Notamacropus eugenii: one gene and its partners. The protein of the gene in region 1 interacts with the protein of each later gene in a biochemical or structural test. Links are inferred from orthologs where the notes say so. Each region holds a gene or a part of one and is shown in the gene's direction. Other genes may lie near its edges. The genes, in order: CREBBP, RELA, MAPK1 and SUMO1.

The links.
Region 2: the proteins of CREBBP (region 1) and RELA form a complex in vitro, tested with the Homo sapiens proteins (9 studies listed by BioGRID and IntAct). The link is inferred for Notamacropus eugenii from reciprocal best matches to the Homo sapiens genes CREBBP and RELA.
Region 3: of the proteins of CREBBP (region 1) and MAPK1, one has a biochemical effect on the other in vitro, tested with the Homo sapiens proteins (2 studies listed by BioGRID). The link is inferred for Notamacropus eugenii from reciprocal best matches to the Homo sapiens genes CREBBP and MAPK1.
Region 4: the proteins of CREBBP (region 1) and SUMO1 form a complex in vitro, tested with the Homo sapiens proteins (2 studies listed by BioGRID, with this or other methods). The link is inferred for Notamacropus eugenii from reciprocal best matches to the Homo sapiens genes CREBBP and SUMO1.

The regions. Positions count from the first base shown.
Region 1 is NC_092872.1:58,235,435-58,242,324, reverse strand, and holds the start of CREBBP (CREB-binding protein), read left to right. Parts: upstream 1-3,875; 5' UTR 3,876-3,990; coding exon 3,991-4,075; intron 4,076-6,890. UniProt on the Homo sapiens protein: Acetylates histones, giving a specific tag for transcriptional activation. Mediates acetylation of histone H3 at 'Lys-18' and 'Lys-27' (H3K18ac and H3K27ac, respectively).
Region 2 is NC_092873.1:18,442,441-18,449,317, reverse strand, and holds the start of RELA (transcription factor p65), read left to right. Parts: upstream 1-3,875; 5' UTR 3,876-4,020; coding exon 4,021-4,027; intron 4,028-4,186; coding exon 4,187-4,213; intron 4,214-4,321; coding exon 4,322-4,473; intron 4,474-5,875; coding exon 5,876-6,024; intron 6,025-6,240; coding exon 6,241-6,332; intron 6,333-6,877. UniProt on the Homo sapiens protein: NF-kappa-B is a pleiotropic transcription factor present in almost all cell types and is the endpoint of a series of signal transduction events that are initiated by a vast array of stimuli related to many biological processes such as inflammation, immunity, differentiation, cell growth, tumorigenesis and apoptosis.
Region 3 is NC_092875.1:8,407,021-8,414,202, reverse strand, and holds the start of MAPK1 (mitogen-activated protein kinase 1), read left to right. Parts: upstream 1-4,172; 5' UTR 4,173-4,192; coding exon 4,193-4,854; intron 4,855-7,182. UniProt on the Homo sapiens protein: Serine/threonine kinase which acts as an essential component of the MAP kinase signal transduction pathway. MAPK1/ERK2 and MAPK3/ERK1 are the 2 MAPKs which play an important role in the MAPK/ERK cascade.
Region 4 is NC_092877.1:298,546,349-298,553,431, reverse strand, and holds the start of SUMO1 (small ubiquitin-related modifier 1), read left to right. Parts: upstream 1-4,069; 5' UTR 4,070-4,413; coding exon 4,414-4,425; intron 4,426-7,083. UniProt on the Homo sapiens protein: Ubiquitin-like protein that can be covalently attached to proteins as a monomer or a lysine-linked polymer.

The DNA.
Region 1 (6,890 bases):
CTCACTGGACACTAAGTGATACTTAGGTTTGAATGTTCTTTCCATGAATCAATCAATGAGTCAACAAATGATTTTTGAGTACTTACTGGTCCCAGGCACTTTGCAAAACCTCTTCTTTCTCAGCTTCTATTGACTTCTTGACCCATTTCAATGAATGAATGAAAAAAAAATTATCAAGTACTTACTATCCTTACTATCGGTCAGACACTGGCTATGCAAATATAAGTGAGACAAACCTTGTCCTCGGAGAACTTATATTCCAAGAGGTTAGTAAGACAACAAAGAAGGGGAGGTAGAATTGGAAAGTGGAGGTGGCAGGTATGAGCACAGTGGTATGATTTGGAAATGGCCAAGAAATATCATGATGGCCCACTTTCCAGGACAAATAAGTAAAATTTCATCACTTATCTGATAGGTCTATCATAGTGTACCACTTGAGGGAAAATGTTCTTTCCAAAGCCACCATGGATTTATTTCTAAATCCAGTGGCTTTTTCTCAGTCCTCATACTGTCAACCACTTTCTCCTTCTCCCTGTACTCTCCTCCCTAGGTTTTTGTGATCCTGCTCTATCATCAGTCTCTTCCAATATTTGATTGCTCCTACTTAGTCTCCTTTGTCAGTGAATAAAGCATTGATTAAGCACCTACAAACTAAGTGCTAGGCACAGTGCTAAGCACAGAGGGTACAAAGAAATGCAAAAGACAATCCTGGCCCTCAAGGTGCTCACAGTCTAATGAGGGGGAAACAACAAGCAAACAAATTTGTACAAACAGGTATACACATGATAAACAGGAAATAATCAACAGAGAGGAGGAACTAAAGAGGGATTGGGAAACACTTCCAAAGGTAGGATTACCTAGGACTTGAAGGAAGCCAGGAAAAGAAGATGAGGTTCCTGATCTATCTCCCACCCTGCAAGCCTGGGTACACCCTAGTACATAGTAAGCAGTTAGTAAAAGTTTGTTGACTGACTCACTGATTCCCACAAACATATTAAACCCAACATGTCCAAAACTGAATTGCTTAACTTCCTCCTTTCCTCTCAGTTTCTCTGTTGATGGCATTACCATCCTTCTAGTTACCTAGTTTTTTCTCTGATTTCTTCTCTCTTACTACCCCTTACCCTACCATATCCAAACATTTACCAAGCCTTGTTTATTTTTCCTTTATAAAATACCTCCACCATCTCTTATCTCTTTCTTTCCTGTTTACCATAACTACTCTATTTCAGGCCTTCACTGATATTCCTAAAACTTTGATTTGCTTAAGAAGCTCCAGTGGCTAACCTATTTCCTCTAGGAGAGAGAATACAAACTTCTTTGTTTGGCATTTCAGTGCTACACATCTGGCTCTAGTCAACCTTTCCAAGGTGATTTCACATGACTCTGCACCCTCACTTCTAGGCCAACTGGCCAACTTGCTAGTTCCTCCTATGAGATATCCCATCTTCTGTCTCAGTCTGTGAGCAGGCTACGTTTCATACCTGGAAAGCTCTTCTTCTTTACGTGTGCCTCTTGGATACCCTGGTATCCTTCAAAACTCAAGTGTTACTTTCTAACTTTAAAAGACCTTTCCTGATTGCCCCAGTTGTTAATGTCACTTTCCCATCACTTTGTATCTATTTCATGTATCCTTCTCTGTGGACAAGTTGTATCTCTCCAGTGGATTTATAAATTCCTTGAGGATAAGAACTGTGTTACTCTTGTCTTTCTATCCCCAGCACCATCACCGTGCCTGGCACATAGTAATCACTTAACAAATGTTCGTTAAATTGAACTTTTGCTTGTGCAGCAGCCTCCTGGAGAGCGAAAAGTATCATGTACTTGAGCCATAAATCCAGGAGAAAAGCAGGGGAGGCTTCTTCTCACAAGGCTGGGAGAGAACATTGACAGGGTAGAGCAACTGACCTAAACTTGGCCCTCCTCTATTATCATAAATTAGGCCTAGTGGATAGGGAGGGAGCCCAGTGTGGTGGATTGAGAGCCAATTTGAGCTTAACTTGGGTTCAGGTACAACCAGTGACATTTACTGTTACTGTCTGTAACTCTGGAAAGTCACTTACTATCTGAGTACCGCAGGCACCCTTAAGTTACAGATGAGATCTGCATTTGCTGGAGATTTGTGAGAGTTTCCAACATGGATAAAACACTAGGCCCCAGCCCCTCCTCAACCTCCCCTCCCCTGCCCCTCTCCCCAGATATTCGGAAGCGAAATATGCTGCAATTTCAAACTTAGAGGGTTTGGGGAACAGCCCTGATTGGAGGAAAGTTGGCTCCCTGGGAAGATATGGAAGGAAGGTGTGATATAAGAAAACCGTCTGCACGGCAGATGGCCAGAAAAGCCAGACAGGCTGCGGCTACCTGTCCTGCAATTCACCTATACTCCCCAATCCTAAAATCCAAGGGTATTTTTCCTTTCCGCTCCCTTGACAACTTTCTCCGAACAAAAGTCCCCACAGACCACGGGCAGGTCACGACTCAGCCCTTCCTGGTCCACGCCACCGAAGAAAAGAAACAACCCGAACCCTACCAAACTCAGCAAAACTGGCGGGGAGAGGAGGTTGCGAAAGCGTTCCGGGCGGCCCCCGGGGCCGGCCGCGGTAGTGACCAAGGCTTGGCCCGGGTCACACACGCAGCGCGAGCATGAACACTTTCATAGACCGGCCCAGGGCTGCCCGCCGCCCCCCTGGGGTCCCACTTAGGGACCTACAGCGAAAGCGGAGGAAAAGCGATCTCGCAAACGCCCACGGCCCTTCACGTCCCTCCTTCGGCCCACGGGCGGCGCTGTCCGCCACAACACGGCAGCGCTACGCACTCCAGCCCGGTCGCTCGGCCCTTTCCGCCTGGGCGCGTTCGTATCTTTCCGGCCGCTCCCGGGTGCAGGTGGAGGGGGGCGGGGCGGGGGCCGTGCGTGGTGACGCTGCGGGGGGGGTGGCGGTGGTGGTGACGCATAAGCGTGCCCCGCCCCCTCCCCCTCCCGTTCAGGCTCTGGAAAAGAGAAGAAAAAAAACTTTCTTTTTTTTTTTAATTGAGGAATCAACAGCCGCCATCTTGTCGCGGACCCGATCGGGGCTTCGAGCGCGATCCACTCGGCCCCGCCGGTTCCGGGCCCCACAACCGCCCGCGCACCCCACTCCGCCCGCCCGGCCCGCTCCGCCCGGCCCTCGGCGCCAGCTCCGGCGGCCCCGCACGGCTCTCGGCTCGGCTTCCCGGAGCCGCGGCGGCGGCGGCGGCGGCGGAACGGGGGTGGGGGGGGCAGCAGCGGCGGCGGCGGCGGCGGCGGCGGAGGCTCCGCTTCGCGCATTGTTTTTCCTCAAGGCGGCGGCGGCGGCGGCTCCGGCTCCTCAAACCGAGTAGGGGAGCGAACCCCGAAGCCCCCCTCCCACCGGGCGGGGAGAGAATTAATTAATTAAGTGGGGCGAGAAGGGGGGGAGGGAGGAGGACGAAGAGGAGGAGGAGGAGGAGGAGGAGGAGGCAGGCGGGCGGGAGGCACCATGTTCCCCGGGACTGACTGAGCCGCCCCGGCCGGGCACCGTCGCTGCCAGCTGGGCCCCGGGGGGGCAGCTGGGCCGCCTCGGCCCCCCCCTCCTTGGAGTGTCGCGCTCGGGAGGGCGGGGGGGAGTCCCGGGCCGCCGCCGCCGCGGCGGGGAGGGGATGAGGGAGCCGCGGCCGGTAGCAGCAGCAGCAGCGGCGGCAGCGGCCGCGGCCGGGGGCGGGCGGTGAGCGCTGCGGGGCGCTGTTGCTGTGGCTGTGATTTCTCCGCCGGCCCCCCACCTCACTGGCCTCCCTCCCCCCCTCCGGCCCCCCATCTCACACTCACTCACACACGCTCGGACAGCCCCCCCCCTCCCGCTCCCTCTCGGTGCCGGCCCGGCCGGGGCAGCTCTCCGAACCCTCCCCAACCCCCCGCTCCGGATTGTCTCCTGATTGCCCCGGACCCTTCGCAGCTCCTACCCCCACCCGCGGGGCTGTTTTCGAGAGCCGGCTAAAATGGCTGAGAACTTGCTGGACGGACCGCCCAACCCCAAACGAGCCAAACTCAACTCGCCTGGGTTCTCAGCCAGTGACAATACAGGTGAGGACCGGGGGCCTTTTGGGGGTGGGAGGGCAGGAAGATGGTTGAAAACATAAAGGGTTGGAGTGCCGGGGAAGGGGACCGAAGTGAATCTGATCGAAGCCAAGTGTCCTGGGAGCCTCAGAGGATCGAGATGTAACGTAGCTTTCAGGGGAACTGGGAGAAGGCCCAGCCCGCAGTGAGGGTTAGTAGGCTTAGTGTCCGCGGACCCTGTTTTGAATTACCTGTCACTTTCCACTCCAAAGGTGAGTAGACATTTCAGATCACAGATGAACGGGGGAGGGGGCTTTCTTCCTGGAAAGGCTTTGGGATCGTAGCTAGATGAATGGGATGTTAGCGATGGCCGAGGTGGTGGGTTCCGAAGAGAAGTGATCCTCTTTTTATCTAGTTAGGCATTGCAAAGGGATTCCACGTAAAATTGTTCCCATCTCCCCACTAAACCTTCCCTCACCCTCCGTCTCCCCTTACCTTGATCACATAAATTCTTCCAAGTTTGAAGGAAGGGAGTTAAGTGCGATTGGAAGGCAGTGGAAAAAGATACTCCGATTCAGATTGATTTGCTAGGCTGGGGTGCAACCTTGCACGAGTCTCTCGATGCTAAATGACTTTTCCAAGGAGGAAAAAAAAAAAGTAAGGTGCCGTGTGTTTGTTTTGTGTAGTGATATCAGATGAGTGTATCTGCTGCGGAGTGTTGAAACGTGTGTGTGTGTGTGTGTGTGTGTGTCAGGACTGCATCTTGGTAAGGGAAAGAAACATCCAGGCTGAAAGATTGGTGACTAGAAATATTTTCTGAATCTCCAAGACAGCGACAACATCAATCATAGTTTTTAACTGATAGTGATAACACTTTTAAGTATTGAAATCCAGAAACTTTTTATGTGGTGCAATCTATAATGATAACTTAATCTTTCAAAATTCAAGCTTGTTTCTGGATATAATATTAAGTTACTTTGGAAACTCTATCCCCTCAAATCTTTCCACTCTCCTAAACCTGAAACTTTAATAGTAATATTTCATAAAAGTTACTATGTATTTAATTTTATATTTCTAACAGGGATAGTTTTAAATGGATGTAAGCCAAGTGTCCCATTAAAAATTAAGCTCCTCCTTTGACTAAACTTAATTTAGGTTATTTTAAAAACAAAGTGGTCATCTGCTTTTAAAACTTAAAAATTCTTAGAATTTGATAGAAAAATTCATTGTGATTCAGAATATCTCTTATTGTAAAACCATGCTTATATTCATTAGGACAACTTCTTTGAAGGCTTCTTTAGATAATAACATCTGCAGACTTTTTTTTCATGTCACTAATTTTTGTGTTTTTTTTTAAATGCTCATTACCTTATTCCCTATTACAGCTTTGAGAACTCTTCATATTTCCTCTTTTTGAATATCTTTCTTTGTACTGTAAAAATTCGTCTTGTAGTTACTAGTTTAAGGACATTCTTTCTCAAATGAAACCTTTTCATCTCTGGTGGTAACATCTGAAAATCACTTTATAATGAATGAATCTAAATTGACTTATGTTGCTGCTGCAATGCCTGTAGATGTGCACTCTGAAATGAAACAGTGAAAACACTTGTATCTGACGTAACACAAGAAAACAACTGCATACTTTGCAACAGAAACTTTAGCTTGGCTTTGTTTTTAAATAGTGTCCCATCTTCCAGCCAGTTTTTTTTAATGGCATGTAACATTTGCTATTACTAGTATTGAAAAATGACAAATACTCTTTTGTACAGGTTCTTGAACGGTTAAATGAAAAACATAAACCAATGGGAGAAATGGCACTAGTAAAAATTTAACAAATTTTTAGTTGATTAACTTGGAGTTTATTTTTGATCCTAAATCTTAATTTTTTTTGTGTTTTTTCCTAAGAAATATGAAAACCATAATTTAATCATTTCTTTTCAGCAAAGCACAGTGTAGGTGACTTTGAAATTGTTTGATGAACTTTCTTAAGATAGAATCTTTACCCCTTTTCCTTTTAATTTTGGCATATGAATATGAATTCTTTAAGTAGAAAACAAAGGACCTCAACTTTAGAAATTTGTGCTCTCAAACTGAGTAACCTTAATAGCAGATTTTTGCTTTGGTAGTAGTAGTAGTACTTTAGTTTGTTTTAGACTTTTGTTATATAAAGGGACATAAACTAGTTATACAGCTGCCATAAAGAGTTTTTCAGAAATAGACACCCCAACTATTTCCCGCTACATACTGCTAATCCCAGCAAAGTTCCTTAGGAAAAGGTTTTCACTTTTGTCAATTTTTCTTTCTTTTTATGCCCAACTCTAGGAACAATTGAGGGAGATTTTCTGGTTTCTGAGGATGAAAAACGAAAAATCAAAACTCTTAATAAATAATTATATTACTAGGTAATGCAGATAACCCAAATTTAACTCCACAGACAAACGTCATTCTCATCCTTACTTTAAACCTTAGTCAACATCATTAATATTTGTATGGGGTCCTTTGTAAGGTATTATTATAAAGTAACTTAAACAGCCTTGCTGTTCAGTAGCTAATAATTTGAGACAGTTCATAATGATATGGATAAAGATGTTAGGGATATATATTAAACAGATAAACAACTGTTTAATACATGAAATACACCAGCAAAAGGATGAATGTGTTTTCTGAGATAGGGAAGTGAAGTAATTTCTAGAGAATATGGAATTGGAGAAAATCACTATCCTTACAATTGGAGAAAGCATCTGGTAGAAGTCCCAGGGAGAAATTGGAACTAACTTGGAGTTAGGAGTGTTTAATAAGCTTCATGTGTAGTTTCAGAGATTGAAAGTTTGGATTTGGGAGA
Region 2 (6,877 bases), on another chromosome or scaffold:
AAAGGCCTTGAGCATTGTGGGTCTGTCCTACTAATCTCTGCCCTCTGGTGTTGTGTCAGCTGCTATTTCTAACAAGCCTTAATCAGCCAGGACTGATGACTGATAAATTCTGCTAAGGGCTACAGTCACTCTGGACGTAGCTGCTGTCTCTAAAACCTACAATTACTTGACCCCTGAGACCTAAGAAAAGAAACTGTGTTCACTCTCCCCTATCAGGAATTCATCACCCTTGTAAAGACACTAGAATGTTTGTCTAGATAGCCTAGGCAGCTGCTATGGCATAGATGGCGTAGATGGCTACCACAAATGTTTTGATAGGACATCAGTAAGTAAATAAACATTTATGTGCCAGGCACTGATTGTGGCTAAGCACTGGGGATACAAAAAAGAGATGAAAGACAGTTCCTGATCTCAAGGAGCTCACAATTTAATATGGAAGATAACGTGCAAACACATACAAACAAGCTCTATACACAACTGCAGAAGGAAGGCACCAGAATTAAGGGGGGAGAAGGCTTCTGGTAAAAGGTGGGATTTTAGTTGGCACCTAAAAGAAGCCAGAAAACAGAGAGAGAGAACGTTCCAAGCATGGGAGGCAGCTAGAAGGAGTGACTGGATCCAAGAGATGGGGTACCGCTCTGGGAACCAATGTCACTGCAGAGAAGAGTACACATTGGGGAGTAAGGTGTAAGAAGGCTGGAAAGGGCTATGAAGGACTTTGAATACCAAATACAGCATTTTTGTTGGGGCAGCTAGGTGGTGCAGTGGATAGAACAGCAGTGCAGGAGTCAGGAGGACCTGAGTTCAAATCTCACCTCAGACACTTGACACTCACTAGCTGTGTGACCTTGGGCAAGTCCCTTAACCCCAATTGCCTCATCCTGGGTCATCTCCAATCATCCTGATGAATATCTGGTTATTGGATTCAGATGGCTCTGGAGGAAAAGTGAGGCTGGTGACCTGCACAGCCCTCCTTCATTCAAAACAAAGTCAAGTGCAAGTCATGTCATCATTTCTCTGATGGTATGGTCTTCTTTGGCAACGAAGGACCAACACACACACAGCATTTTGTATTTGATCCTCCTGGCAACAGAGAGCTACTGGAGTTTACTGAGTAGGGAGTGACATGGTGAGACTAGGTTTTAGGAAAATCCCTTTAGCAGTTGGAGTGGAGTGGAAAAAGATTAGAGGCAGGCAGACACCCTCTGCACCTCTCTGAGCAGCCATTGCAATAGTCCAGGTGTGAGGTGATGAGAGTCTGCCCCAGGAAGGTGGTGGCATCAGAGTGAAAAGGGTGTATTGGAGAGAGATTACAAAGGTAAAATTGGCATCATATTGGATATGGGTTGTGTGTGTGAAAAAGAATGAGGAATCCATGACTGGGGCTGGGAGCATGTTTTTGCCCTCTGCACTAACAAGGAAGGTGGTCACTGTGGTTGCTTGTCCTTCCCTCTCCAAGAGGACCATGGCATAGGGAAGGTGGGGTGGGGAGAGGAGGATGAGTTTAGTTTGGGCATATGTTGATTTAAAACCCTGTGGGATACCTAAGGTTGGAGCACGGGATATGGAGGAGGATCTCACAACAGAGACAGAGAACAAGTTGTCAAAGAAGTAGGAGGAGAAAGGGGTGGGGGTCCCAAGAACCTAGAGGTAAGAGAGGACCAAGGAGGAGAGAGTGATTATGGCTCCAGAGAGGTCAAGGAGAATGAGTGTGGAGCAGAGGCCACTGGATGTGGCCACTAAGGAGATAATTAGTAACTTAAGGGAGAAGTTTTTGTGGAATGATAAAGGCAAAAGCTGGATCGACTGTAAGGGGGTTGAGAGAGGAGGGAGGTAACTAGTGTAGATGGCCTTTCCCAGGAGAGTCAGTGGGGGCATCTGGTGTAGACAGGTTTTCCCAGGGGAGTCAGTGGAGGCGCCTAGTGTAGACAGCCTTTCCCAGGAGAGTCAGTGGGGGCATCTGGTGTAGACAGGTTTTCCCAGGGGAGTCAGTGGAGGTGCCTAGTGTAGACGGCCTTTCCCAGGGGAGACAGTGGAGGCGCCTGGTGTAGACGGCCTTTCCCAGGAGAGTCAGTGGGGGCATCTGGTGTAGACAGCCTTTCCCAGGGGAGTCAGTGGAGGCGCCTAGTGTAGACAGCCTTTCCCAGGGGAGTCAGTGGAGGCACCTAGTGTAGACGGCCTTTCCCAGGGGAGACAGTGGAGGCGCCTAGTGTAGACGGCCTTTCCCAGGAGAGTCAGTGGGGGCATCTAGTGTAGACAGCCTTTCCCAGGGGAGACAGTGGAGGCGCCTAGTGTAGACGGCCTTTCCCAGGAGAGTCAGTGGGAGCATCTAGTGTAGACAGCCTTTCCCAGGGGAGACAGTGGAGGCGCCTAGTGTAGACGGCCTTTCCCAGGAGAGTCAGTGGGGGCATCTGGTGTAGACAGCCTTTCCCAGGGGAGTCAGTGGAGGCGCCTAGTGTAGATGGCCTTTCCCAGGAGAGTCAGTGGGGGCATCTGGTGTAGACAGCCTGTCCCAGGGGAGTCAGTGGAGGCGCCTAGTGTAGATGGCCTTTCCCAGGAGAGTCAGTGGGGGCATCTAGTGTAGACAGCCTGTCCCAGGGGAGTCAGTGGAGGCGCCTAGTGTAGATGGCCTTTCCCAGGAGAGTCAGTGGGGGCATCTAGTGTAGACAGCCTGTCCCAGGGGAGTCAGTGGAGGCGCCTAGTGTAGACGGCCTTTCCCAGGAGAGTCAGTGGGGGCATCTAGTGTAGACAGGTTTTCCCAGGGGAGTCAGTGGAGGCGCCTAGTGTAGACGGCCTTTCCCAGGAGAGTCAGTGGGGGCATCTGGTGTAGACAGCCTTTCCCAGGGGAGACAGTGGAGGCGCCTAGTGTAGACGGCCTTTCCCAGGAGAGTCAGTGGTGGCATCTGGTGTAGACAGCCTTTCCCAGGGGAGACAGTGGAGGCGCCTAGTGTAGACGGCCTTTCCCAGGAGAGTCAGTGGTGGCATCTGGTGTAGACAGCCTTTCCCAGGGGAGTCAGTGGAGGCGCCTAGTGTAGACGGCCTTTCCCAGGAGAGTCAGTGGGGGCATCTGGTGTAGACAGGTTTTCCCAGGGGAGTCAGTGGAGGCGCCTAGTGTAGATGGCCTTTCCCAGGAGAGTCAGTGGGGGCATCTGGTGTAGACAGCCTTTCCCAGGGGAGACAGTGGAGGCGCCTAGTGTAGACGGCCTTTTCCAGGAGAGTCAGTGGTGGCATCTGGTGTAGACAGCCTTTCCCTGGGCTTTAGCCACAAAGGGCATTAGAGAAACAGGACAGTAGCTAGAAGCGAGCTGGCCAAGGTCTGATCGGAGAGGCGGGTGCCAGGCCTACACTGGCGGACGAGGGAGGGAGTTTCCTCATTGGCGCTCGGACATCGGACTCTCTCGCCGGCACTAGGGAGGGGCCTCGACCCTCTGCTCTGCTCGCGCCCCCCAAGGCGCCTCCCCCTCGTTCCACAGTACACAGTAGGTGCTTCATAAACTCGGGCTTCCCCTACACTCCGGCTCCGCCCACCCCTCCTCTCGCCCCTCCCGGAGCGTCCTGGGACCACGTGCTTCTGGAAGACGCGTGACGCAAGCACGCAGCGGCGTCTCACGCTCCGCCAATCAGGGCAGCTCCCTGTCCGCCCCGCCCACCCCGCCTTGGGTGGTGGCCAGGTCCTCGGCCGGAACGTTTGGGAAAGGCGATTTGGGGAGCTGAACGGAGACGCCAAACGGAGCGCGGAGGGGCCGGTCTGGGTCCGACGCCTCCCTGCCCTCGGGCCTAGCCCTGCTCGGCGGCCACCTCCCCGCACCTGCGCACTCGGGCCGCCCCGCCCCGCTAGCGGGAGCGCGCAGGGCGCGCGCGGCCCGGGAGGCCCTGGTGCGCAGGCGCGGCCCCGCATTCCGAGCAGTGACGCCGCGAGCGCGCGCGGCGCATTTCCGCCTCTGGCGAATGGCTCGGGCGTAGGGCGCGCGCCGCGGGGGCTCCAGCTGCGACCCCGGCCCCGCCCCCAGGACCCTGGCCATGGAGGGTGAGCCTGACCTCTGACCGGGGGAGGGGGAGGGCCGGGTGGGGCCCGGGCGGGCCGGCCGGAGGTCCGTGCGGCCGCCCCCCTGCCGGGGCGGGGCGTGGGGGGGAGGCGGAGGGCGGCGCCTGACTCGATTTCCCTCGCGCCCCCTCCCCTTTTCAGACCTGTTACCCATGATCTTCGCTTCCGGTAAGTGGGGGCGGGGCGGGGGGGGCCGGGAGGGGCGGGGGGAGGCCCGGGGTCCGGCGGCTGGGGGTCCTGAGCCCGCGGTGTGCGCGCCCCCCTCCGCCCCCCCAGATTCGCCCCCGGCCCGGGGCCCCTTCGTGGAGATCATCGAGCAGCCCAAGCAGCGGGGGATGCGCTTCCGCTACAAGTGCGAGGGCCGCTCGGCGGGCAGCATCCCCGGGGAGCGCAGCACGGACACCACCAAGACGCACCCCACCATCAAGGTGAGCCCCGGGGGCCGGGGGGCCGGGGGTGCTCAGAGCCCCCCACTGCAGGGGCTCGGGGCTCGGGGGCGTGCTCAGAGCCCCCCACTGCAGGGGGCTCGGGGCTCGGGGGTGTGCTCAGAGCCCCCCACTGCAGGGGGCTCGGGGCTCGGGGGTGTGCTCAGAGCCCCCCACTGCAGGGGCTCGGGGCTCGGGGGTGTGCTCAGAGCCCCCCACTGCAGGGGCTCGGGGCTCGGGGGTGTGCTCAGAGCCCCCCACTGCAGGGGCCGGGGGTGCTCAGAGCCCCCCACTGCAGGGGCTCGGGGCTCGGGGGTGTGCTCAGAGCCCCCCACTGCAGGGGGCTCGGGGCTCGGGGGCAGACCCCCCCCACTGCAGGGGGCTCGGGGCTCGGGGGTGTGCTCAGAGCCCCCCACTGCCAGGGGCTCGGGGGTGTGCTCAGAGCCCCCCACTGCAGGGGGCTCCAGGCTCGGGAGTGTGCTCAGAGCCCCCCACTGCAGGGGGCTCCAGGCTCGGGAGTGTGCTCAGAGCCCCCCACTGCAGGGGGCTCGGGGGTGTGCTCAGATCCCCCCACTGCAGGGGCTCGGGGCTCGGGGGGTGCTCAGAGCCCCCCACTGCAGGGGCTCGGGGCTCGGGGGGGTGCTCAGAGCCCCCCACTGCAGGGGGCTCCGGGCTCGGGGGTGTGCTCAGAACCCCCCACTGCAGGGGGCTCGGGGCTCAGGGGTGTGCTCAGAGCCCCCCACTGCAGGGGGCTCGGGGCTCGGGGGTGTGCTCAGAGCCCCCCACTGCAGGGGGCTCGGGGCTTGGGGGCAGACCCCCCCCACTGCAGGGGGCTCGGGGCTCGGGGGTGTGCTCAGATCCCCCCACTGCAGGGGGCTCCGGGCTCGGGGGGTGCTCAGAGCCCCCCACTGCAGGGGCTCGGGGCTGGGGGGGTGCTCAGAGCCCCCCACTGCAGGGGGCTCCGGGCTCGGGGGTGTGCTCAGAACCCCCCACTGCAGGGGGCTCGGGGCTCAGGGGTGTGCTCAGAGCCCCCCACTGCAGGGGGCTCGGGGCTCGGGGGCAGACCCCCCCCACTGCAGGGGGCTCGGGGCTCGGGGGTGTGCTCAGATCCCCCCACTGCAGGGGGCTCGGGGCTCGGGGGTGTGCTCAGAGCCCCCCACTGCAGGGGGCTCAGGGCTAGGGGATGTGCTCAGAGCCCCCCACTGCAGGGGGCTCGGGGCTCAGGGGTGTGCTCAGAACCCCCCACTGCAGGGGTGCCGGGACTGGGAGTGAGCACACCCTCCGCCTCCAGCAGAGGGCAGGAGGTGGCAGGCTCCCAGAGGGACAGAGGCCCTTTGATGGGTTTGGGACCCCTCACTGATCTTCTCCGAAGGTGGGAGTGGCTCAGCCTCCATTCCTTTCCCAGGTCATTGGCTACACAGGACCAGGAACTGTGCGAATCTCCCTGGTGACCAAGGAGCCCCCTCACCGACCTCACCCTCATGAGTTGGTGGGGAAGGATTGTCGAGATGGCTTCTATGAGGCTGAACTCTGCCCTGACCACTGCATCCATAGGTGAGGAGGCTCAGCAGGTGCGAGGGAGTCAGGGCAGGGCGAGGGCAGGGGTTCTCCTACGTGGGGAGGGGGAACCAGAAGGACCCCACAAGGTAGGGAGGACAGAGCAGTAGAAATGAGGCACCGAGCTTCGGGTGGGGCAGAGGATCAGAGAGGATGGCCAAGGGCTGGACTGGGCCTGGGGTGCCAGGCAGGCTGACAGGTGTGAGGTGTTAGCTTCCAGAACCTGGGGATTCAGTGTGTGAAGAAGCGAGATCTGGAGCAGGCCATTGCCCATCGAATGCAGACCAACAACAACCCCTTCAATGGTGAGAGGCTCCTAGGCCAGCATGACCAGGGCCCCCAGCAGCCCCACCCCACCCTGCCCATGCCTCCCTGCCTCACTCCCTGGCTTCTCCCTCTTGCTGGCCAGCTCTACACCAGTGCTTCAGGATCCTTTTCAAATGCTTTTTGTGCTGCTGCTTGTTTCGATGTCACTGTCATTTCCCTTTCTTCCTTCCTTTGTGTCCGCATCCCCCCACTCCTCTGTTGCTGGCCCCTCATTAGTTGCTCAGTTACTGTGGCCTTGGCTTGCTTCAGGCGATCTCTTGTTTTCTTGGCTTTGCTTGTTTCATTCTGCATCTGTTCACACAAATCTTCCCATTTTTCTCTGAATTTTTTTGTTTATTTCTTACTGTATAGTAATGTGTCATTTTTTTAACCCATATCTAATTGATGAGCCTCTACTCTGTGAAAGCTATAGAGCTGCTATGAATATTTTGGTTTTTGCACGACCTGTTGCCATTTCTATCTTTAGCTTTTTTGTGGAGTTTCAGTAATTAGATCATTGAGTCAAAGGCCACAGGCCATTAAT
Region 3 (7,182 bases), on another chromosome or scaffold:
TCAACATTTCTGAGAAGCCTACTCTGCACAGGTCACTGGGCAACCTGCTAGAGTTAACACACTCTGTTCCCTCAGCTGATCACAGGGTTAGGGAGGTGGTCACCGGGAAGTCCAGACTTCCCCACTGAGTCAATCAATCAATCAATCACCCAGCCCCAACCAGTGTAACTAACCAGATGCTTTAGCCAGCATACCTTTACCAGCTGAGAGCACCTCTAATTATGGTACAGAATAAATCAATTAAAGGTATAAACTAGGCATGGGAGAAACCTTTAATCATTCAGAAATGCCAAGCACTGGAAGAAGTGAAATGAGATGAATAGTATTCAGGATATGTATTGGAATTGGCTGGAGAGCATCGGTCCTGCCCTGTGGGGCTCAGATACAAACAGCCTGCCAGCTGGAGCCTGGGCTTCCTTCCACTGGCTGGCCAGCCTTGTGCTGGGACAGTTCCAGTCAAGCTCCTGAGAGACTTCTCCCTCAGAAGGAGGGAAGCAGGGGAGGAAAGAGGGATGGAAGAAAGGAGTGAAAGAGGGAGATAGAAGAGGGAGGGAGGGAGACAGGGGAGAAGGAAGGAAGTCAGGGGAGGAGGGAGAGAGAAGAGAGGCTCTGTCTCTGCCCCACACTTGACCAGAGGACAGCCTCATGAGCCTTCCCGTGAGCACCAGTTGCAGGCCCCTGTAACACATGCCTCAGTAGCACAAAAAAAAAAGAAAGTCCTCAGCTCTGGACTCTGATATTCATCCATAACAGTCAGATGTCCTCTAAGGTTTGCAAAGCACTTTACAGATACTGGCACAACAATCCTGAGAGGGAGGTGCTATTATTATCCCCATTTTACAGATGAGGAAATCAGGGAGGTCTGATGTAAAGTGATTTGCTCAGGGTCACCCAGGATAGGGAGTATTTGAGGCCAGGTTTGAACTCAGGTCTAAATGACTCTGGGGCAGCTAGTTAGTGCAGTGAGTAGTATATTGGAGTCAGGAAGGCTCATCTTCCTGAGTTCAAATCTGGCCTCAGACACTTCCTAGTTGGGTGACCCTGGGCAAATCATTTCACCCTATTTGCCTCAGTTTCCTCATCTGTAAAATGACCTGAAGAAGGAAATAGAAAACACTCCAGTGTGTTTGCCAAGAAAACCCCAGATGGGGTCATGAAGAGCCAGACCTGACTAAAACATAGCTTAACAACTTACTGACTTCAGGTCAGGTGCTCTACCCATCATACCACCTAGCTGCCTTGGGGGTCCCCACCCTTACGAACTGCAAGAGTACTCCTCAAAGGGAGAAAAAGAATCCCGGAATGCAGGCCCTGAGTTGCTTGGCTACATGCTCCCTAAGCCCAGTATCCTATAGTTCTTGGGGGATAGTGTATCCCAGGCTCCGTGTGCATGTGCATGTTTGTGTGTGACTTAGTTGTACTCTGGTCCTCTCTATGCCTTAATATCCTTTTGTAAAAGCTAACCAATGTTAATTAAGGCTGAGGCAATGCCAGCCGGTTCAATGATATTGGGAATCACACCAGAGCAGTAAGGCTAGAACCCGGAGGACAGATGTCACTGCCCTCTTGGGGGACCCAGCTTGACTGTGAGAATGAGACAGGAAGATGAGGAAAGCAGCTTAGATTGAGGGTTCCAGATCATTTCACCGATGAAGGGCCTAGGCTCAGGGAGGTGAAGGGACAGGTCCTAGAGGTGAGGAGCATTAGAGGTGGAATATGAATCCGGGTCCTCTGACCTTCCTTTCATCCTGGACCATCCTGCCTCCCACAGCAAAGGAGAGCAGATCTGTTCCCTCCCTTGCCTCTCTGAACGCCTCCGAGAACGCATCAGCCTTCTTTGGCTGCCACAAGCCATTGCTGACTCATATGGAGCCTGCAGCTTCTTGAATGTTTTTTCATATCTAGTTCCATCTCGTTCATTCTGAGTTCATCGCAGTTGTGTTTTTGGAAGTGAGAGCACAGCATTGATCCAGTAATCACTAGTCTGAATAGTTTTTCAATTAGTCATGAATTCATCTAACTGTATACTTGTATGTGCTACATCTTGGCACCTGGAGTCTTACAAGTTTTCTTGCTGAAATCCATCCATTGTGTATTGACAGCCTTGCAGCCAGTAAACTAGCAAAGAAGGAATTTTATGTAGTCTGGAATCCTTTGTTCTGGCTCCTCTTTCCAGGGGTTCACACATTATGTTTGAGAATATATTCTGGAATTTTGATGGGCATCTATATCCAGTACTTCAGTCTCTATTTTCCAGAACTGTGTTCTTCTTTTCAATCAGTCATCAATCAAGCCACATTTATTAAGCACCTACCATGTGCCAGGCCCTGTGCTAAGGGCGGGTGATACAAAAAGAGGGAGGTTTTCAAGAACTATGATGCTGTTTCTGACTCTCTGAGCAGTGTCTGCTCAGTTTACTAACAGCAGCCTCAAAATCAGATATGCAAAATGGGTCCAACCAGATTAGATTTTGTGATGTACCGTTTGCACGCTCTGCTTGCAAAAACAGAGGCTGAACCAGGGTGGATGGTGTTGGCTTAGATCTGGCTGGCTGTGGTTTCGAAGCGTGTGGTACGTGTGACGGAGAGACAGACGAACTTGCAGCAGAAGCCGTGGAGTGGGGATTAAGGTGCCTGGCATTTCTCAGCATGTGTTGAGCAGCTCTGTGTGTGGAGGGTGCCTATAAGATGGGGGTGCCTCCGAAGGGTGTGTAGGAGGAATAGATGTGGGAAGAGTGGAGGTGCCTTTGGGGAGATGTGCCTGGAGGGGATAGCTGGGTAGCTGAATGTGTGTGGTAATTGCCGAGTGGGTGTGAGATCTGAGTGGGTTGTGATGGTATGTACAGGAAGAGGGGATCCTTGGAAGTATGTGTGGGGTCTGGGCATCTGAGGGCGTCTCTAGTAGGGTGGGTAGGGGCTTTGAGCCTGCACAGGAGCATACCTTTCTACATGTATATGAGCTCCAAGTGTTTTGCCCTATGAGAGGGTCCTCCATTTGGAGTTGGAAGGGACTCTGCCCTCCTTTCTTTTACAGATGAGTCTACAGAGGTGAAAAATACTACATTTAACTGGCTACACAAGTGGCAGAATTGTAATTTGATCCCAGGTCCTCTGACTCCAAAGCCAATGTTCTTTCCACTAACACTGCAGGCAAAGACACCTCTTTCAACCTCAGTTTTCTCATCTGAAAAACAGGGCTAATAACAGCACCTTCCTTCCAAGATTGTGGTAAGGATCAAATGAGATAAAACTTGCTAAGTGCGTTGCAAACCTTCCATGAAGCAGCTAGGCTATGCAGTGGATAGACTGCTGGTCCTGAGTTCAAACCCCGCCTCTGACACTCACTAGCAGCGGACACCAGACTAGTCACATAACCTCTGCCTGCCTCAGTTTCTTCAACTGTAAAAGGGGCCTAATTTCGGCACCTAGGTGGCAGGGTTGTTGTCAGGATCCCACGAGACCGCTGTAAAGTGCAGGGCCTACGTGCCAGGACGCAGCCTGCTTTGCAAGGGTAGGCACCGGAAGGACGGGGTGCCTGAGTGACCTGGGCACACCGCTGAGCTCCCCGCCTGAGGGGCGCGGGCTCCCAGGCTGCTTGCCTCTCCGATTCTCGGGGCGGGTGTCGGGGGGCTGAGCCTGCACCTCTGACTACGCTGCCAGGGCACTTTCGGGAAGGGGTTGAGGGGGTGCGCGTGGGATCTAGGAGGGCTCGAGGGCAGCGGGGTGAGCGCTGACCATCCAGCTCCCACCGTGCGAGTGCCGAGCCTGGTGCGGGGGCACCGGGAGGCTCGGGGCGTGGGCGTGGGACCCCCCCCCCCCCTCCCAGGGGAGGGCATGCTCGGGCATCTCGGGGCCTGCCAGGCCCGGGCGGAGGCGCGCGTGCCGGGGCACATCTGCCCCGCGTGCCCCGGGGCTGCTCCCCTGGGGCGGCTTCTGCATTCTCTGCACCCCCGCAGCGGAGCGCAGAGCCCAGCACACAGTGGGTCCTCCGGCAGGGGGGCGCCGCGCCGCACCACGCCACGGGGAGAGGCGCTGAGCTGGGATTCGGGCCGCAGGCCCGTGCGGCGCATGCGCGGCTTCCCGTGTCTGGGGCGGGGTGCAGGGCGGGTATGTGGCGGGCGTGCGCCGGGGCGCGCCTGCGGGGGGCGCTGGCGCGCGGTTGCGTGTGGGCGGGCGGCGGCGCCTCTCGGCGCATGCGTACTCCGGTTCGCTCGCTTTCCGTCGGCAGGGGGTGCGTGGGTGCGGCGGCCGCCTCCCCGGACGGAGGTCCTCTTTTCGGTCTCCTCCCTTTCGCTCCCCCTCGGACGCCCCCGCAGCTCCCCGCGGCCCCTCTCCTCGTCTCGGTCTACATCTTCTCCTTCCTCCTCCCCGCCTCCCCCGGCCTGCGGCGTGTGCGCCTGCGCGCACCCCTCCCCTCCGCTCCCTTTGCACGTGACCGCGAAGCCTCGGCCGCCCCTCCCCCTCCCGGCGGCCGGTCCTTCCGCATCGGCGCGCGCTCGCCGCAGGCCCCGCCCCTCGCCGCGCGCCCGCCCTCGGCCCCCAGGCAGTCGGGCAGTCGGGCCGTCAGTCGGTCGGGGCGGCAGCAGCGGGCGGCGGCCGGAGGCAGCAGGCGGCAGCGCTCGGGGGGCCGCGGCAGCTCCCGGCGGCTCGGCGGTGGGCGCCCCTCCTCGCGTGCTCGCCCTCTCTTCCTCCTCCTTCTCCCTCGGCGGGCGGCGGCGGCGGCGGCGGCCATCATGGCGGCGGCGGCGGGAGGCGGCGGCGCGGGGCCCGAGATGGTCCGCGGGCAGGTGTTCGACGTGGGCCCGCGCTACACCAACCTGTCCTACATCGGCGAGGGCGCCTACGGCATGGTGTGGTGAGTGCGGGGCGGCCGGCCGCGCCTGGTGCGTGCCCGGTTACCGGGTGGGGGGGCCAAGATGGCCGGGGCGGGCTGCGCTGCGGCTCCAGGGCCGGCCCGGCCTCTGCTCGGGGCTGGGGGGCCAGGCCCGGGCGGTAACAGTAACAGTAACAGTGGCGGTAACAGTAACAGTAACAGTAACAGCGACAGCCTCGCTACAGTATCCATTGTACAGATGCGCACACGGAGGCCGGCCGGGCGTGCTGAAGGTCACCCGGGGCCGGAGGGGCGCCCAGCTCTCCCAGGGGACTTTCCCCAATTCTGTGGAGCCCCCGGTGACCCCCAGCATTCCAGGCTATGGCGCTGACAGAAGCATAGCCCGTGCACATCGCCCCCAGGGCCCCAAAGGAGGACCTTGGCTCTTCCTGGCGATCCTGGCGGGCGCTTAGGGCAGGTACCACCACTTGTTAACAAATGACCAGATCTGAGACCCGGCGGAGTTGGCATGGGAGCTCCTGATCCTTTCTTCCTGGTTCTAAGGCACCCTTCCCAGGGTGCCATCTTGTTCCCTTTAGCATCAGAGGTAGAGTTGCCTTCCCTCTTTCTTCATATTTACATCCGGCAATATCCCAATTTTAATCAACGGGCTGTGATCCCAGATCTTACATTTTGGCCAGTCAGATGGGTTTCTTCATTTGAGGCCATCAGACTGCTTAAAAGCTCTATTGTGTGACCTAGTATTGGCCTCCTCTTGTCAAATCATAAGCTTCTTAAAAGTGGGAACAATTTCCCTTTTTTCCTCTTTACATCCCCACCAAATTATTTCGTTGCATACAGTAGGTGTCTAAAGTTTGTTGAACTGACTCTAGTGAACATGGTGTTTAGCTTTATTGTTTCGTGGCCTTTTATTGGTTTGAGACTTGAACAGTTGTGCATTGTGCTTTAAAAAAAACTGTTTAATGATTAATAGAATCACAGAAAGTATGGATGGGAAATTGTTCAGGTGTTCAGTTTCAGACTTTTTTCTGCCCCTGATGGTCTAACCCCTAGATGGTTCCTTTGGATTCACTTGAATTTTTGTTGTCAACCTAGACATGCTGGTTTGATGTCCTAATAAGATATGGAGACCATATGGCAGCATCTAGCAAAGAGTCAAGATAGAGGGCAAACTTTTTATTAAAGTGTATTTTTCAGTGATTCAAAAGGAAATTATTTTTGTTTTCTTACCCTGTTCATGTCTTTTACCCATGTATTGCCCAGTAATGTCTTTTTTTATCTGGAGTAGAATTCAGACTTTTAATAGTACTTTTCTGAGCATCATGGCTCTGTCTTGCCATATATTCCCCAAAGTGAGTGAGAGTCCAGCCAGGGTGGTCCTTTATTGCTTGATCTGAGAATGAACCAAGCAAGATGGATTCTCTTGTTCTCTCTCTCTCTCCCTCTCCCTCCCCCTCTCTCTCCTTCTCTCTCTCTCATTCTCTCTCCCTCCCCCCTTCTCCATCCATCCATCATCCCTCCTTCCCTCTCTTCTTTCCCTCCTCTTCACTCTGCCTCCACCTCCTCCCTCTCTCTTTTTCTCTCTCACCTTTGCTGTTTCTTTGCTTTCCAGCTAGTAGGCCTACTCCTGGTGGTTATTCTAGGTGCTACTCGATTTTTCAAGATTGCTTTTGTCTGCCCTCTCCCACAATGTCTTTTCTGTCCCTTCATGAAACTACATTAGCTCAATATACTGTGTTGTGACCTATGTTCTCTTTGCTTCTTTTTTTTAAAAAATTGTCCTCCATTGCTGTGGAGGCAGCACAAAGCTGACCCCACAGGAATGATTTTGTTTTGGGAACCAGTCAAACTTAGAACACTTAATGATATATGTGATTGCTACTGGACCTGTGTAATTAGGCAGAAGTTATAAGCAGTACTTAGAAGTGACTGAGATTGTTTTATTTTTGGAAGGGAAATATGGACTCTGATAGCGATACATCATTCAGCATGGTTTCTCTAGTTCTAGAATAGAAAATTCATACTTGTTATGTTGTGATACATCCAGTCCTTTATTCTTCATTGTCAACACTAAGCATATTGAGATTTGAAAGTATTCTTTAGGTTCTTCTTTGGAGTGGAAGGACTTGTCAGCTACTGGAATTTTAAAAAGTTTTATTTATGCTTTACTAGTAAAACTAGTTTTTCTCTTTGCTCTTGGAATTTTCTGGTATTTAGCACCACTGTTGGTAGTTTTCTGTAGTACCATATACAGTTTAATCTTGAACCCATATGTTGATAATAAAGAACCAGGATCCAGCTGCCCAGCCCCCAGGCTTCCTTGTGTTCCCATCTCCTTCTACCTGAAAG
Region 4 (7,083 bases), on another chromosome or scaffold:
AAGAATGAAAATAAATGGGAGAAACCATGAGAAAAACATAACCTAACAAAAGAGAAAATAGTCTGCTTTATTTTACATTCTGACTCCATAGTTCTTTCTCTGGATATGGATGGCATTTTGCATCATGAGTCCTTTGGAAATGTTTTAGGTCCTTGCCTTGCTGTGGAGGACTAAGTCTATCAAAAACAGTCCTTTATCAAAAACAGTCCTCATACACTGTGGCTGTTACTGTGTATAATGTTCTCCTGGTTCTGCTCACTTTACTGAGCATCAGTTCACAAAAATCTATCCAGGTATTTCTGAAGTTTGTCCATTCATCATTTCTTTTTTAAAAATTTAATTAATTTATTTGTTTTCAGTTTTCAACAATCACTTCCATAAGTCTTAAATTTTCTCCCCTTCCCTCTCCCCCTCCTCCCTGAGACGGCATGCAGTCTTATATGGGTTCTACACAAACATTCTTATTAAACACTTTTCACATTAGTTATGTTGCACAGAAGAATTAAAACAAATGGGAGAAACCATGAAAAACAAAACATAACACAAGAGAAAAGAGGCTCCTTCATTCTGTATTCTGATTCCATAGTTTTTTCTCTGGCTGTGGATGGCATTTTTGCCTCAGGAGTCTTTTGAGGATGTTTTAGGTCCTTGCATTGTTGTTTAGGCTTAAGGGTTTAAGGGCTTAGTTTATCAGAAACAGTCTTGTCACACTGTGGCTGTTACTGTGTATAATGTTCTGGTTCTGCTCATTTCACTCAGCATCAGTTCATATAAGTCTTTCCAGGTTTTTCTGAAGCTCAACTGTTCTTCATTTTTTATAGTGCAATAGTATTCCATTATATTCATATACCACAACTAGTTCAGCCATTCCCCAATTGATGGGCATTCCCTCGATTTTCAGGCCACCACAAAAAGAGCTGCTATAAATATTTTTGTACATGTGGGACCTTTCCTCATTTTTATGATCTCGGGATACAGACCTAGAAGTGATATTGCTGGGTCAAATGGTATGTACATTTTTGTAGCCCTTTGGGCATAGTTCCAAATTGCTCTTCAGAGTGGTTGAATCAGTTCACAGCTCCACCAACAATGAATTCGTGTTCCAACTCTCCCACATCTTCTCCAACATTTATCATCTTCCTATTTTGTCATATTTAGCCAATCTGATAGGTGTGATGTGGTACCTCAGAGTTGTTTTGATTCTCATCTCTTTAATCAATAGGGATTTAGAGCACTTTTCATATGACTATAGATAGCTTTAACTTCTTCCTCTGAAAACTGCCTGTTCATATCCTTTGACCATTTATCAGTTAGGAAATCACTTGTATTCTTGTAATTTGACTCAGTTCTCTATATATTTTAGAATTAAGGCCTTTACCTCAGACACTAGTTGTAAAAATTCTTTCCTAGTTGTCTGCTTCCCTGCTAATTTTGGTTGCATTGGGTTTGCTTGTGCAAAAACTTTTCAATTTAATGTAATCACAATTATCCATTTTGCACTTCATAATGTTCTCAGTCTCTTGTCATAAATTTCTCCATTCTCCATAAATCTGACAAATCTACTATCCCTTGTGTTCCTAATTTGTTTATAGTATCAGCCTTTATACCTAGATCATGTACCCATTTGAACTTTATTCTTGTACACGGTGTCAGGCATTGGTCTATGCCCAGTTTCTGCCACACTATTTTCTAGTTTTTCCGGCAGTTTTTGTCAAACAGTGAATTCTTATCCCAGAAGCTGGTGTCCCTGGGTTTATGAAACAGTAGACTGTGATAGTTATTGACTACTGTGTTACGTGTGCCCACCTATTCCACTGATCTACCTTTCTATTTCTTAGCCAGTACTAAGTGGTTTTGATGATTGCTGCTTTATAATACAATTTAAGATCTGGTATGTCTAGGCCACCTTCCCTAGCATTTCTTCTCATTAATTCCCTTGATATTCTGGACCTTTTATTCTTCCAGATGGATTGATATTATTTTTTCTAGATCTATAAAATAGTTTTTTGGTAGTTTGATTGGTATGGCACTGAATAAGTAAATTAATTTAGGTAGAATTGTCATTTTTATTATATTAGCTCAGCTTACCCAGGAGCCACTGATGTTTTTCCGATTGTTTAGATCTGACTTTATTTGTGTGAAGTGTTTTGTAATTGTGTTCATACAGTCGCAGGGTTTGTTTTGGCTGGTAGACTCTCAAATAAAAATTAAAAAAAAAATTTTATTTTCAGTTCCAAATTTTCTCCTTCCCTGCTATCCCTCCCTCACCAATCGAGAAGGCAACAAATGTGATACCTATTATACATATGAAGTCATACAAAACATTTCTACTGTTAGTCATGTTGTGTGTGGAGGGGGAGCAAGAAAAATTAAGAGGAAAAATATGCTTTAATCTGCAATGAATCCATTAGTTCTGTCTCTGAAGGTGGATAGCAGTTTTCATCATGAGTCCTTTGGTATTGTCATAGATCATTGCACTGAGCAGAGTAGCTAACTTTTACACAATTGATTATTGCTTTTAATTAATATCGTTATTGTGTACAACGGTCTTCTGATTCTGCTTATTTCCTTTTGTATCAGTTGATATGTTTCCTCTTCATAAAATAGTGTCTGAGGCCAGATTTGAGATGAGTTGTCCTGACTCTATCCACTGGGCCACCCAGCTGCCCTAGGCATGTTCTGTCAAATTAGAAAAATTTCCAATCCAAATCTAGGACTAGATAATGCTTTTATCAGAAGACCTACCTCACTAAGGTCCCAGAATGATGTCTCCTAGGTGGTGGATTTCCTCTCTTTCTCCAGAAATTTAGATCATCCTTTAAGAACTGTGATCAGAATGAATAGAGGAAATACTCACAGAGAGATGGTCCTAGGTCCTAAAATAGGATACCTTCACATCTTAATGAATTACTCCTTCCAGGATTATTCTTATTTTGAAAAGAAACTCTTGAAATGTCTCAACCCAACCCTTCCCACTCTTCCGTTTGGAGGAAGGAAAGCAGGAATAGAAGGGAATAGTCTTGTTGCAGTCTGTTCTCATCAGATCTCTCTGGGGATAATGTTTAGTGTTGGAATCACAATTTAATGTCATCGATAAGCTGGAATGGATTGAGATGAGGGCAACCAGTATAGTCAAGGATCATGAATCAATGTCATTTCAGGAGAGGAGCCTCGGGAAAACTCGGGGGGCCCTAAGTACAAAGAAAGGCACCCCACGCACCCCCTGCAAAGGGCATAACCAGGAAGTAAATCTGGACTTGCCAGGAAAAACTCCTCATCGTTAGTGCTACCCAAAAGTGGAATGGGCCACCTTGCCTCTGACGGTCTTCACGCCGAGGCGCTGCCAGGTGCACGGGATGGACCAGATGGCCCTAACCCTCGACCTGCGTGACTCTGAAAGTAGTCTTCCTAACCCGTTCAAAGCTGCTCCTCGGAGGCTCACAGGTGGGGCCGGGGCCTTCTTAGAGAGAAGGAAGGAGCCCCGGCTGGAGACCTGGAGCTCAGAGGCGTTCAAGGTCATCCGGTCCAGGCCTTTCCTTTCATGAAACAAGGAAACTGAGTCCCAGGAAAGGCACGCATGCCTTCCCCAGGCCAGCAACCCCTGCATTTGAACCCGGGGCTCTCGGCCAGCCGAGCGAGCTGGGCTCTGGGCTCCGATCCCAGCACCGGGCGCCATCTCCAGACGTGGTGCCTTTTCCCCGCCAGTGTCCCGTGCCAGCCTTTGCGGATGGCGCTCGAGGCCGGCCTAGCGCCCGGTCTCCGAGCTCCCCTCCGCTCTGCCCCGTACAGCGCGTCTGTGTGTCTCGTTTGCACACGGCGTTAGGCTGAGCGCGCCGAGGGGCGAGGCTGCCTGCGCCGCCTTTGTACACCCTCTCCACTCCCAGCGCCACGCCTGGCGCGTAGCAGGCCCCGGGACGTGCCCGCAGACGGGCCCCCTCGGACGAGCCCCTGCGCTTCTCTGGGCCTCGGCTTCCCCACGTGTAACGGAAGGGAGAGGCGCGGAGCTAGGTCTACAGTCCCACAATGCGGATCTCATCACCCTGCCCCAACGGGCGGCGGGCCGTGGCCTCTCGGGTCAGGGCTCGATGCAGCCGTCCGGCCCGAGCCGCAGGCAAGGACCCGGGCCGCGGCGATCGGGCCCAGCGTGACCTCACCCGGGCCACCCCGCGGGGTCGGTTCGATACACTCCCCCCACACCAAGCCCCTCTTCCCGCTTCTCCCGCCGCCCCCTCTAACTCTTCGCTCCTTTTCTGGGCGGGGAACGGAAGTGACGTCAGGCGCATCGGAAGTCTCTGCCGCCGCGGTGTTGTGCTGTGGGGAAGAGAGGGACAGCTTTAGAAACCCGGGAGAGTGATTCTCGCCCTTCCGAGGCCGGTATCGCGCCGAAACCCCCGGAGAGAAGCAGCCGTCGCCATGTCTGACCAGGTAGGAAGCTTAGGGCAGCGGCTTGACGGGCAGTCGGACGCGGGGCCTGCGATCTCGCGGCCCCTCCGGGCCCGCGGCCGGACCGGGAATGGGGGCGGGGAGGAGAGGGCACAGGAGACAGGGGAGGGGGCGGCGGGCGCGGGGCCGGCGGCCAGCCAGGGTCGGCGTCTGGCACCCGAACGTCCGGGGCCCGGCCTCGCGAAGCCGGAGCCTCCTCGCCCCCTGCGAGAAGTCCGTGCACTTCCCCGTGACCCGGGGCGCCCGAGGCACGTCGGGTCGCCGGCCCCGCGGACCGGGTGTCAGCCAGCCCCGGAGCCGTGCCCATCGCCCTGGCTCAGGCCCCCGGGGAGCGTCCGGGCCCCGCAGAACCCAATCGCGCCTGACGGCGGCCGCGGGCGCCTAGGCCCCGGTTATATAACGGGAGAGGGAGCTCGCCGCGGCGGCCGGCAGGGCCTCGGGGGGTCGGGGGGGGCGGCCTGAGCGCGGATTCCCCTTCGGATGCCGGGGACGCGGCGGCGGCGGGGGCTGCCAGGTCGCCCGGAGCCCGGCAGCGCCGGCTGCAGCCTGGCGCCTGGGCCCGCGACAGGGCCGGGCCCCCGCGTCCGCGCCGAGCTCGGGCTTTTTCTCTCCGGATCCTTTTTCCGGTGGATGGGGTGGATGGGGTGGATGGGGGTGGCGGCGGCTCCCCTTGTTCCGTGAACTTTTCCTGTTTGTACTTCGGAGTGGTTCGGCGTTTCCGCGGACTGGGAGCCCCGGCTCGCCCCCCGCAGCCCTTTCCTAGGCATGGGCCTAGCGATGACTGCTGTTTGCGGCCGCCCCGGAGTAAAACAAAAGGACCGGACCCGAGGAGCTTCCCGCGGCTTTCCCCAGCTCCCACAGTCAGGATGCCCGGGCCAGTGTGTGTGGGCTCGGGGTCCGAGCGGAATCTTTGCGGGGGAGCCTTGCCACCCTTGCCTTGTGTTTGGGGCTGGTTTACAGTGCACTTGGTGAGGTCCGGAGTACTCGATTGATTAATGTCAAATGGAGAAATCGAGAGTCAGGTTGCTTGGATGAAAGAAAACCCTAAGATTTTTCTTTCATTTCAAAACACTGCGGCAGGGTTGGAATTTTAAATTTGGCAAACTTATCCACGTGTCTGTTTATTTGTCAGTTCTGTGCAGCATTGCTTGAGGGGAAATCCATCGGATTTTAGGAAATCGAGACATTTGGAAACATTTTTGTTATAAAAAGCAAGCCGCTATTTAGGTTAGCTCTGGGTGGTACTCAGCACTTTAATAGGCATCTGAATACCATTATAACGTATCTCATTAAATTGTTTATTCAGTTACTAGTTAGAGAATATATGTAAAATATGTTAGCAGTCTTTTGTTTGACATTTAAACATGGGAAATGTGTCAAATTTCTTATGTAGAAGTATTTTTGGGGGATGAATGAAGGAAGCAGACAAGCATTTATTAAGCACCTGCTATGTGCCAGGGGATTTACAAGATTTATGATACTCACAACAACCCTGGGAGGTAAATGCCGTCGTTATCTCTCATTTTACCGTGGAGGAAACTGAACTAAGGCAGACAGGTTAAGTCTCTTGGCCAGGATTACCGAGCTGATAAAAAGTCCTAAGGCCAGTTTCAGTTCAGGTTTTCTGGTTCTAGGTGCAGTGCTTTGTGTGCTGCGACACCTTGCAGCCTCAGAATAGAAAAGAATTGAGAAAATAAAAATTACCGTATCTTATCCAGAATAAAGTAGGCAAGTGTTATGAAATATAGGTAATTCCTTAGAAGCTAGGAGGTAAATTAGTAGTTTGAGATTAGAAATTTGAATTGTCTTCATCAGATAACATTTATTAAAAGACGAAAGATCTGATTTTAAAAAAGTTGAAATACCCTCAGGATTTAAAATCAAGAGCAGGAGCCCTAAAGTTTTCTAGTACAGTACCATTCAGTTTGTAGAATATCGTGCACAGTATCTGTTCAGAAATTCTACATTAAGTCCTGTTGGAAAGGCATATTTTTTAGGAACCTTTCAGTTATTATCAGTCATAATAGGAAAACTAAGGAATAGTTCTTACATTTCTACCTTTAAAATCAGAAAAGTTAAACTTTTTTTTAGTAAATAGTATTTTATTTTTTCCAAGTCCGTGTAAAGATAGTATTCAACATTCATTTTTATAAAGTTTTGAGTTCCAAATTTTTCTCCCTCCCTCTTTCTTTTCCTTTACCCCCTCCCCAAGACTGCAAGCAATCTGATATAGGTTATACATGTGCAGTCATGGCAACATTTCCATATTAGTCATGTTGTGAAAGAAGAAACAGAACAAAAAGGAAAAGCCACAAAAAACAGCAAAGTGAAAATGTGCTTCATTCTGCATTTAGACTCCATATTTCTTTCTCTGAATGTGGGTAGCATTTTCTGTCATGAGTCTTTTGGAATGTCTTGGATCTATTTTATGTTACTGAGAAGAGCTAAGTCAATCATAGTTGATCATCACATGGTATTACTGTTACTGTGTACAATGTCCTGGTTCTGATCACTTCACTCAGCATCAATTCATGTAAGATTTTCCAGGTTTTTCTGAAATCTGCCTGCTCATCATTTCTTGTAACACAATAGTATTCCATTATATTCACATACCACAACTCATTCAGCCATTGCCCAGTG